3 linked regions of the Saccharomyces cerevisiae S288C genome follow. The protein of the gene in region 1 binds, or shares a complex with, the protein of each later gene. Each region holds a gene or a part of one and is shown on either strand. Other genes may lie near its edges. The genes, in order: PEX21, POT1 and PEX7. A codon is read from its position in the direction of its gene.

Region 1 (3,193 bases):
CTATTGGTCTGGGTACACTTTGCGCTGAAATCAGAGAAGGTCCCGTGTCCGTAGGTACCTTATTTGTCAGCTTGAAAGGTACCATAGCTACTTAAGGGGTTGCCTGCCTCATCCAAATCATTTTTTTTTTTTGTTACAACCTATGCTAAAATTCACGTGTACGCATTTCAAAATTGAAAAAAAAAAGAGCAAGCAACACCAAAACCAAACTTCATAATAAATTAGTATCCCAAAAGACCCTTTCACAAGGTAATTACTTCCTTCGAGACTAATTCGGGTTTTGCGAAGCTTTTTTTTTTTTCTTCACAGTTTCTCCCAAGAGAAGAAAAAATTCACAAGCGTGTCATTTCGTGCAGCTTACATCAGCACAATCCATGCACAAAAAAGGTGTAGTAAGTTTTAAACGAGAGAGATGGGCATGACAGTAGGTAGGGCATGCATCTGCAGGAGTGAAGCTGCGATACTCCTCAGCGCAGAGAACACATAAGGGCACATATTCATGATTTTGATATTCTTAGCTATCTGTAAACATATATCAACGTATGTAGTAGTTACAAGAGGTACAATTGTAGAAACTGCCTATATCAATCAAGTATGTCTTTGTGAATTTCGTCCTTGACGAAAATGTGCCTGTTTCCGACCAGTTCCCCGTTGTTGGATGAGAATAACTCGCTTGCGGAATTTCCATCTGCATTTTTCTTTAAAGTCACGTCACCGCTACTAATGTTTCTCATTAACTGAATAAACTTCGACTCAGATAGTTTTGATTCGACAGAGGAGGAAAGAGTAGAAGAGGAGGATGCAGACGAAGGCGGTGGAGTACAGCATTTTACTATATCTGTGGCAATCCTTTGCAGTTCCGACTGATCTTGGTCGAACCATTTCTCGTCCCGACGTGTTATGGGCTCGTACCGCTCTTTTTGAATTTCTCTCTCCAAAACTTGGAACTCCGCGTCGAATTGAAACGCATCCGTTGGGTTGTCCCGGTTTCCTTGGCGTTGCTGTCGAAGCGTCTTTTGAGGTGGGTAAGTGCAACTTGTCTTCCTTATCATACAATTCTTAAAAGGTAAGTGTTGTCTGCTTGAATTCAGGCGCTGCTGTGACTCGTAATTGGAATACAACCTTTTATATTCTGAGCTAAACTCTAGTGAATCGTCAATCTTCATAGACGAGAACTGCGGAACCCAATCACTGGAATCTACAGTGTTGTTTGGAGTAATGAAGGTTAATGGAGAGGGTTGATTTTGATACCTTACATTGTCAATGCCGTCAAAATTACTACCATTATGCAAAAAGTGTTTTTCCACATGCGAGTCTTCAGTGGCATAGTGTGCTGTTAATTCCGTATGGGCCAGCTTGGTGCGTTTTGACGGTATTAAGGAATCATTCTGTATGCGATGCCCTTGTTGGATAATCTTTTCTATCGGGCTTGTATGGCAGACACTGGGCATGGTATTCTAGTTTGGTCTTTATAATTTTTCACCTGTTTCTTTTTGAAACAAAACCAAAGTATGCGGCGTCAACCTTGACTATATTCTCTTAAATATATATCTGCCGTTCTATCAGAGGTTTGAACATTGCCAATGCCTTAAAGAAATATTTAGTCATCCCATCTCCGATTATCGGCACTAGTTTCCATTTTTCCAGCGGAAAGATAAAAAGAAACGGAAAGAAAAAAGGCCGACAAATAAACCAAACGGTATTCGTAGACCGATGACAATACGACTACAATTAAGGTAGCGCGCCTCACTATGATGTGGATCAGCCTCACATTCAGAGCAATTTGTAGTACAGCAAAGTTGCCGATGTCGTCTTCGTGAACCATTGTCAACGCAGATTAAGCACACCCTAAAACTTGAATAATGCAAATTCCATAGCTTAGTTTAATCAAGGCGCCATTATTCCTCAGTTGAAAAGTATATCTAATGGTTAGGATTAGAAATATGTTCATTGCTCATTGTTATGTGTATCATATCGTACAAAAATTATATAAAGAAATAATAATGAAAAAGAGTAAAACAAAGACAAATAGACAAAAATAGAGGATAGAAAAAGAAAAACAACAGATACATAAATAAGTCTTATGACAAAAAAACGATTGTATAAAAATTAAAGTGCATGCCATTTTTACCTCCTTTTGCTTAACTTAAACTTTTCATTGCAATCATTCATTTGTTTTCAGCGGCTAAAGCGGCTACCTCAGCTCTCAACTTTAATCTACCGGACAGGATGTCACCAATCTTGTTGTATTCAGCCCAGTGAACTTCAAAACCCTTTCTTAATTCAACGTTGGTTTCGTTTTCCCAAAGGTTAGCAATTGGCTTGAAGGAAACGTGAGAACCATTAACACAGATAACAGCAGCAGAGTCATCTTCGTGCTCAACAGTTGGTACCTTTTCACCGTGAGTATCGAACTTGAATCTCAAAACCTTAGCGTCAGTGTTTGGAGAAGCTTCATTTTTCTTGTTCCATTGTTCGATAAACTTGATACATTTGACAGCAAATCTGGAAGCGGTGACACGGTCTTTAGAAGATGGAACACCACCTTGTTGAACATGGCCTGGGATAGCAGTTCTAACACCAAACTTACCCTTGCTTGCTTCAGAGATGATGTCAGCCAACAATTGAGTGCTATATACGCTAGAAGCTTGTTCGTTTCTAACCAATAGCTTACCGTTTCTGTTTTCACCTTTGTCGTGACGAAAGTTCTCTTTTAATAGAGTTATATCTTCTCTGATAGAAGCTAAGTCGATCTTCTTTTCTGGAGTGTACACTGAAACAGCACCAGTGATTAAACCAGTGAAAGAAGCGATGTAACCAGAGTGACCACCTTGGACTTCACAGACGAAGACTCTTCTTCTTGTCGCAGAAGCACTCTGTTTGATGTCATCAGTGTAATTGACTAATGCGTTCAAACAGGTATCAACACCAAGTGAGTATTCAGTACCTGGAACGTTGTTAGAAACAGTGGCTGGAATCAAACACATTGGAATGTTAAAGATTGGGTGTTGGGTTCTACCGTCACGCAATTGCTTCAAGGACCTGAAACCTTCAAAACCACCAAGAATAATCAAACCGTCTAGCTTGTTCTTTTGGAAGTAGTAAGCAATGGTACCCAAATCTTCTGAAGCAACAGATCTGTTCGTACCGATTTCGGAACCACCCAAGTTATGCCAGTTTTCGACATCAATCC
Region 2 (3,492 bases), on another chromosome or scaffold:
AATAATGGAGCTAATAAAAAGAATACCCTACACTACTCAAAGGAAATTAATGTAGAAGAGCGAAAACAAATCGCAAAAAGGCAAGAAGAAATCGAACAATGCATTCACACCTTATCCGATTTTAAACTGTTTAAAAAGGGTAAGCACGTTACCTCATATGGCTATCGAATCTCCCCCATGACAGACTCCGGTAAGATTTCTTTGAAAATTTTATTCAACATACCTTTGGATTATCCAAAGGCCCCAATAAAACTAACGATGAAAAGTAATGAAGAAGTTTCCTCTTACATGGACACCGTGATAGCGAATTTCAACTGGAAAGCCCGTCAATTGGTTAAGGAGGACTGGAGGATATTATCTCAAATAAACTATTTGGTTAGTGAGTTAGAAATATTGAAAATGGAAAATTATAAACAAATTGATAAACTACGTAATAGCTTTTACAAAACCATATAAATATGAGCATAATAAAAAGGGAGAATATTAACTATTATCAAGTATTAAAACTATTCTTTAATAAAGATGGCGGCGGCACCCATACCAGTACCGATACACATACTAACAACCCCGATTTGATCCTTTTTCAGTTCTCTTAGTATGGTAGCTACTTGCCTTGCGCCAGTACAACCCAAGGGATGGCCTAACGCGATTGCACCACCTCTTGGATTTACTTTATTCAAATCGATGCCCAGTTTATGGATGCAGTATAATGCTTGGGCCGCGAATGCTTCATTTATTTCAAAAATATCGATATCTTGGACTTGCAAGCCAGTAGCTTCCAGGACTTTTGGTATGGCGTATGCAGGGCCCACACCCATGATTTCAGGGGGAACCCCCACTGTTTGAAAATCGATGTAGCGACCTAGCACAGGCAGATTTAACTGGTTGGCTACGGACCTGCGGGCTAACAAGACACCTGCCACACCATCGGAGACCTGGGATGCATTGCCCGCAGTTGTGGTTCCTCTGTCTTTGATAAAGGCAGGCCTGATGCTTGAAAGCGACTCCGCAGTGACGTTAGGGCGTGGCCCTTCGTCCGACTGGCAAATTGAGCCATCTGGTAATTTTATAGGTAAAATTTCATCTTCGAAAAGCCCCTCATTTTTCGCCTTGTAAGCTTTTTGATATGAATTCGCAGCGAACTCGTCTTGATCCTTTCTACTGATCTTGAAATTAGCGGCAACATTCTCATTAGTAATGCCCATTGGTATTAGACATTTCTTCGCTTCTCGGTTTTTTTGCAGCTCTTCAGAGGAGATCATGCCCAAGGGATTGACGTTTTTGTAGTTATTGGTCATTGATTCCACTCCCAGCGCCAAACCAATATCAATTTGCCCAACCTTAATCTTGTTGGCAATATCGTTCACCGCCGTTAAACCTGAAGAACATTGTCTGTTTAAAGCGACAAATGGCGTCGAGTAGGGAATCCCACTTGCCAAGCATGCAGCCCTGTGTTCTGTAGCACCGGCTCCAACATTGAGAACATTTCCACAGGCAACTTCTTCGATTAAGTTCAAATCAGCCCTCAAAGGTTCCGGAAACCTCCCGATGAACTCATTGAGAAAGTTGTATAATAAGTAGTCTGTGTTTACATCTTTGAAGGCACCTTTAAAACCTTTACCGATGGCAGACCTGTTAGCAGCCACAATAACTACATCTTCGGGTCTTTTCTCCAGCAACGAGTTCTTCCTCTTCGATTCACCCTTACCCATGGCGCTCTCCACCAAATGATCCTTGATACTTTGTAGTCTTTGAGACATTGCTTTTATGTAGTGTTATATTCACTCTGTACTCAGAGCCACAAGAAATAACCATTCGATTTCAATAGAACTGAGATGCAAAAGTATACCCTATTTATATCTCTTCTTTCTAGTAAAACTCCAATAAATTTGAAACCAATAGAGGGAGAAAGGAAAAAAAAGCTGCGGTGTTAATACTATTATCCCCGTTTCCCTTTGATAGCGCCTTACACGGCGCTACCACATCATTACCCTCCTCATGTTGACGCGTCAAGTTTTTTTTCTTTTTTCGCTATTTGTGGCATAGGTTCAAAACTAGCAAATTCTTGATCTTTTGAAGATTACATAGTGATGATGATCGTGACACAAAAGCAGATAAAAAAATAGCACAATCATCAGCGATGGACTCTTCCCCGAACAAGAAGACGTACCGCTACCCTCGCAGATCGCTGTCACTTCACGCGCGTGATAGGGTCAGCGAAGCCCGTAAATTGGAAGAATTGAATTTGAACGATGGGCTGGTTGCCGCTGGCTTGCAGTTGGTCGGTGTAGCGTTAGAGAAACAAGGTACAGGATCACATATATACATGAAACAGAAGAATTTCTCAGCTAATGACGTTTCTTCGTCACCAATGGTTTCCGAAGAAGTGAACGGATCGGAAATGGATTTTAATCCGAAGTGCATGCCTCAGGACGCATCACTCGTCGAAAGAATGTTTGATGAGCTTTTAAAAGATGGAACTTTTTTTTGGGGGGCTGCTTATAAGAATTTACAAAACATCTCTCTACGAAGGAAATGGTTATTGATATGTAAAATCCGTAGTTCCAATCATTGGGGGAAAAAGAAAGTGACTTCGAGCACGACATACTCTACACATTTGGCCACTAATGAACTAGCTGAAAACGCACACTTTTTGGATGGCCTAGTTAGAAACCTTTCAACAGGTGGCATGAAGTTATCGAAGGCTCTATATAAACTAGAAAAATTCCTGCGAAAGCAAAGCTTTTTGCAACTTTTTCTCAAGGATGAAATTTACTTGACGACATTGATCGAAAAGACTTTGCCACTCATATCCAAGGAATTACAATTTGTTTATCTTCGGTGCTTTAAAATACTGATGAACAACCCACTGGCGAGAATAAGAGCACTACATTCTGAGCCTTTAATTCGCTGGTTCACCGAGCTTCTGACGGATCAAAATTCTAATTTGAAATGTCAGTTACTTTCTATGGAGTTACTTTTATTATTAACGTATGTTGAGGGTTCCACGGGTTGTGAGTTGATATGGGACCAGCTTTCCATATTATTCACCGATTGGCTAGAATGGTTTGACAAAATCCTTGCGGATGATATTGCAATTCATTCATCCCTTTATTTGAACTGGAACCAATTAAAAATAGACTATTCGACAACTTTCCTACTGCTAATAAACTCCATACTGCAAGGTTTCAACAACAAGACTGCACTAGAAATTTTGAATTTTTTGAAAAAGAATAATATACATAACACTATCACATTTTTAGAACTGGCCTATAAAGATGATCCTAATAGTGTCGTGATCATGGAACAAATAAAACAATTCAAATCCAAAGAATCTGCGATATTTGACTCGATGATAAAAACTACCAACGATACGAATTCGCTTCACCCAACAAAAGATATCGCAAGAATAGAAAGCGAGCCTCTATGTCTTGAAAATTGCCTGTTATTGAAGGCAAAAGATAGTCCCGTAGAGGCACCAATAAACGAGAT
Region 3 (3,636 bases), on another chromosome or scaffold:
TCTTTCTAATGCTCGCTCGACATTAGCACGAAACTTCTTCTGTTTGGAGTCTAGTTGTTTATTATTTGAGTCAATTGTAAGGGGCTTTAGTGGTAAGGACATTTTTTGTCGATCCTCTCAGAAAAAGCTGCTCTGTCGGCTTTTTATTTCACCGTTATAAACATAATTGGGAGGCTTGAGTTTTATATTAGGTATTGCTATTGTTCCTTTTCCAGTGAGATCGAAGCTTAGCCTTTGAAAAAACCAAAATCACTTTTGATCACGTGCCTCGGGTGGAACGCCCAGCAAATATATAAGTATGTCGTTTATTAATAAAACGGTAATCGGACTCTAAATATTCCTTCTTTCAGCACTCGCTTATGTCGTTATAAAAACTTGATTAATTTGAGTAATTAGCAGTTTTTGCCGTAGGTATGTTTTTAGAATGTTCTTTTGCACAGTCAGAAGCGTTGTTACCCATAATTTCGTGTTGAGAATATTAAATAATTACGTAAATGATCTGCCAAATGCTGACAATGATTGAAAAATAATTTTAAAGTTTAAATAATGCAAAAAATTTGTGTAAAAAGAATATGTGTCAACCTAAGCCGTTCCATACAAATAAATTTCCATCCCATGCAGTTGAAGCCACATATCCTGGCTTTCCCCACAAGCTCCAGTCAGCTCCAAATACGAATTCTGAATGCTGTGTGAAATTGAAAATGGAACCTTTAGTAGCATCCGTAGAGTTAGTTTTATATGTTTCTTTTGCACCATCGTTGCTGAGATCTCTCCATATTCGACAGGTCATATCATATGAAGCTGACATTAAAATATTGGAATGATGAGGGGACCAGGTAACTTTTCTGATTGCCAGCCCGTGCGCATTAGGGATTTCATTGATGCATGATGAATTGTGAAGTTGGCCGGGCACAGTCCTCTTGATAGTCGCTGATTCATTTTTATTTAGCATCCTAATGTCCCAGATTCTAATGGCATTATCTACACCTCCTGTGGCAACTACATAAGGTCTGTATTTGTTGAAATCGCAAGTCAATGCTTCTAGTCCTGAATGCACTAAAAAATTATTCTGATTTTTGCCGGAAGGTAGTCTAATGTCAAATAAGCTTGCATAAGAATTCCCTGAACAGGATAATACGAGATTTTGGTCGTGGGGCGAGAACTGTGCTTGGTATACACAGTTCCTGTTTTTTGAAATACCTGTAAAGCTTTTCTTTTTCAATATAATGGCGTTTAATGGATCCACCATTTTGGTAATCTCTAAAGGTCGTGGAGTAAGGGTCATTAAACTTTGCTTTCTTAGAGGGGACCATATTTTTATAGATCCATCCCATGAACTACTTAAGAAATTCTGCCTGTTGACTAAGTTCCAATTACAACTGAATACTTCTCGTTCATGCTCTTTAAATATAGCAATAGGAAACTCTTTAAAGGTTGTATCAAACAAGCGTAATGTACCATCGCCCTGTGCAACCAACACTTGGTTTTCATGACTTTCGTTCCATGCAAGATCAAATAAACAATCCTGTGTTAAAAAGGAATTAACTTCCACTATTCTACCTGAACGATCAATCTCAAGGATGAACAATTTTCCATTCCCAACCAGGCCAAAGTTTGAACCAGCAGCTACCGCGAGCCTGTTATCGAAAAAGGGAGAATACTGGACACCGTACCCACTAAAACCTTGCATATGATATCTGAGCATGTTGTATAAATTATGCAAAAAGTTAGATGATAGTCCGTTAACAATATGAGATCTCTGCACTTTTCGAGCGTCGAATTCCAAATCAGAAAGAAAACGATTTCGACCTCCGGTAAAAGATTTTATGGTAAGAAAACACAGTTTGTGTTCCACAGTTCTTAAAAGTGTTTTCACCTTTTACTGTTTTGCGAAACGACTTTTCAGAGGAGGTTATGTCGGTGGTTTAATTTCTCGGCCTTCATATTTACTTGCTGGAGACATGCAAATTTCTGATTAACAATGATTATAGAACTTTAAGTAGAAGTAAAGAAAAATAAGTATATGATATATATATATAAAGATGCAGATAAAAAAAAGGTAAAAGGAGTAGAAAATAATGTCTGAAAATGGATGACTGCCAATAGGACATATTTTCATATTAACATACTTCAGAAGCGGTATTGTTTATTGTGATGATCGTTGCTCATTGTTATCATTAGGGACGTCGTTATGAATGGTGGTGTCCGAACTGCTTGAACCTTGGCCTTGAGAGGGATTTTCGTCTGTAGGAGGAAAGGCAGCAGAATTGTTGTTGCGTAGTTCGACGGTAGTAACATCACCATTTTGATTTCTATAACTGGCAACACCGGAGGAAAACAAGTTATTTCTGTTGTTCTCACCAGTACTTCCACCTCGTTGTTGATCATTGCTATGGTTATTGTCGTTATTGTTGTCTCTTGAGCCATTCGTAAAATGGCCTGTTAATCGTGAAATATTTTCCAAAAAGGAACTTCCTTGCGTTGTATCAGAGGACGATGAGTCATTACGTCCTTGGTTGTGAACAGTTTGTGCTCCGGGTGCTGTTGTTGCAGAGGTATCAGAAGTTCCCCTCTGAGCAACGTTGAATATGTGATCCAAAACGGCTCTTAGTCTGTTGTGGTGAGGGTCTGTAGCGTCACTACTAGTGTTATTTGAGTTTGGACCGTTCGCTGCTGATGGGCTTGCCGAAGAATCAGAAGCGGAAGGATTCGGATTTGGACTGTGGAATTGGAACAAAGTCAAAGGGATGGGAACCCAGCGCGGACTTTGATTGTTATTCGAACCACCAGAATTAGAGGGTGGATTTTGAGTAGTTGAGCTCGGCCCGTTGACACCGTTTCTATCGCTATCATTAGGCGGTAAACGGACTGGATTGTGTAAAGGTTGGCCGTTTTGAGGCACTAAAAAAAAGCCTGTTCTTGATAACATCTGTTCGCCAGAACTTGCATTTCCGATAGTGGGAACCGTTGTATTGGACGTGTTTTCGGATGGGGCGGAACTATTTTCGTTAGTGCTATTCACTGCAGTTGGGTCGTATAAAACTCGTCTAATACGTTCAAAAGCAGCTTCGTTAGCTGCTACTTCATCCGTATCTTGTTGGGCTGCACGTTGAACACCTACAGATTCGCTGATCTTTTGTCTACAAAGGGGACAAGAATTTTCTAATCTTGACCATTTGTAGATACATTCCCTCCCAAAAATGTGGCCACAAGGTAACTTGATTGGTGAGTGTTTGTAGCTTGGATTTGTTTCTTCATCATTGAGAGTGCGTTGTTGTTCAGTGAGAGGAATAGAAGGCGGTTCAACAACCGTAGCATTTGTAATCGATGGGTTACTGTCATTATCGGCGGTTGTGCGTAGGGGCGCACCTTCATTATCCTTCCTTTTTTTTGTTCCTTCAGATTCCTCCTCATTTTCAGAATCCCTTTTTCTTTTTGCTTTAGTTGAATCAACTTCATCTTCATATTCGTCATAACATATACTACATAAGGGCCCTTCGGCCTTGGGTAGATCAGAAACTTGCAGAACGGGGAGCTTATCAAACTCATCCTTTGATATTCCTTTTGGTCTATTTAATAGTCTGTTGAATCTCTCCATTGCAAGCTGAGCAGCAACAGATATGAAGCTGTTCAAAC

What was found.
Region 2: the proteins of PEX21 (region 1) and POT1 are in contact, whole or in part, in a crystal structure (PDB 3W15), measured with the Saccharomyces cerevisiae proteins. Residues at the interface, in NP_011755.3 of Saccharomyces cerevisiae: Leu199 (codon at 857), Ile202 (codon at 848), Ala203 (codon at 845), Asp205 (codon at 839), Ile206 (codon at 836), Cys209 (codon at 827), Cys210 (codon at 824), Thr211 (codon at 821), Leu231 (codon at 761), Phe236 (codon at 746), Met240 (codon at 734), Ile243 (codon at 725), Leu250 (codon at 704), Leu262 (codon at 668); in NP_012106.1 of Saccharomyces cerevisiae: Met1 (codon at 1,760), Ser2 (codon at 1,757), Leu5 (codon at 1,748), Gln6 (codon at 1,745), Ile8 (codon at 1,739), Lys9 (codon at 1,736), Leu12 (codon at 1,727), Val13 (codon at 1,724).
Region 3: the proteins of PEX21 (region 1) and PEX7 are in contact, whole or in part, in a crystal structure (PDB 3W15), measured with the Saccharomyces cerevisiae proteins. Residues at the interface, in NP_011755.3 of Saccharomyces cerevisiae: Val227 (codon at 773), Lys230 (codon at 764), Leu231 (codon at 761), Ser234 (codon at 752), Lys235 (codon at 749), Phe236 (codon at 746), Leu239 (codon at 737), Leu250 (codon at 704), Ser260 (codon at 674), Glu261 (codon at 671), Leu262 (codon at 668), Val271 (codon at 641), Gly272 (codon at 638), Asn273 (codon at 635), Arg274 (codon at 632), His275 (codon at 629), Ile276 (codon at 626), Phe277 (codon at 623), Val278 (codon at 620), Lys279 (codon at 617), Asp280 (codon at 614), Glu281 (codon at 611), Ile282 (codon at 608), His283 (codon at 605), Ile286 (codon at 596), Leu287 (codon at 593), Asp288 (codon at 590); in NP_010426.1 of Saccharomyces cerevisiae: Gln7 (codon at 1,687), Gly8 (codon at 1,684), Phe9 (codon at 1,681), Ser30 (codon at 1,618), Asn31 (codon at 1,615), Phe32 (codon at 1,612), Leu34 (codon at 1,606), Val35 (codon at 1,603), Gly36 (codon at 1,600), Asn37 (codon at 1,597), Leu58 (codon at 1,534), Thr59 (codon at 1,531), Gln60 (codon at 1,528), His72 (codon at 1,492), Arg86 (codon at 1,450), Asp89 (codon at 1,441), Thr91 (codon at 1,435), Phe92 (codon at 1,432), Lys93 (codon at 1,429), Phe95 (codon at 1,423), Pro96 (codon at 1,420), Ile97 (codon at 1,417), Ala98 (codon at 1,414), Ile99 (codon at 1,411), Leu284 (codon at 856), Asp305 (codon at 793), Met306 (codon at 790), Thr339 (codon at 691), His341 (codon at 685), Ser342 (codon at 682).

The regions. Positions count from the first base shown.
Region 1 is NC_001139.9:968,603-971,795, forward strand, and holds PEX21 (Pex21p), read right to left. Parts: upstream 1,452-3,193; coding exon 585-1,451; downstream 1-584. Other genes in the region: KEL2 (Kel2p), read right to left, coding at 1-85; PFK1 (6-phosphofructokinase subunit alpha), read right to left, coding at 2,169-3,193. UniProt on the Saccharomyces cerevisiae protein: Receptor that mediates peroxisomal import of proteins containing a C-terminal PTS2-type peroxisomal targeting signal via its interaction with PEX7.
Region 2 is NC_001141.2:39,685-43,176, forward strand, and holds POT1 (acetyl-CoA C-acyltransferase), read right to left. Parts: upstream 1,761-3,492; coding exon 507-1,760; downstream 1-506. Other genes in the region: SMU2 (Smu2p), read left to right, coding at 1-456; formin BNR1, read left to right, coding at 2,141-3,492. UniProt on the Saccharomyces cerevisiae protein: Responsible for the thiolytic cleavage of straight chain 3-keto fatty acyl-CoAs (3-oxoacyl-CoAs).
Region 3 is NC_001136.10:739,896-743,531, forward strand, and holds PEX7 (Pex7p), read right to left. Parts: upstream 1,706-3,636; coding exon 578-1,705; downstream 1-577. Other genes in the region: DOP1 (Dop1p), read right to left, coding at 1-102; ubiquitin-protein ligase SAN1, read right to left, coding at 2,147-3,636. UniProt on the Saccharomyces cerevisiae protein: Receptor required for the peroxisomal import of proteins containing a C-terminal PTS2-type peroxisomal targeting signal, such as 3-oxoacyl-CoA thiolase. Specifically binds to cargo proteins containing a PTS2 peroxisomal targeting signal in the cytosol.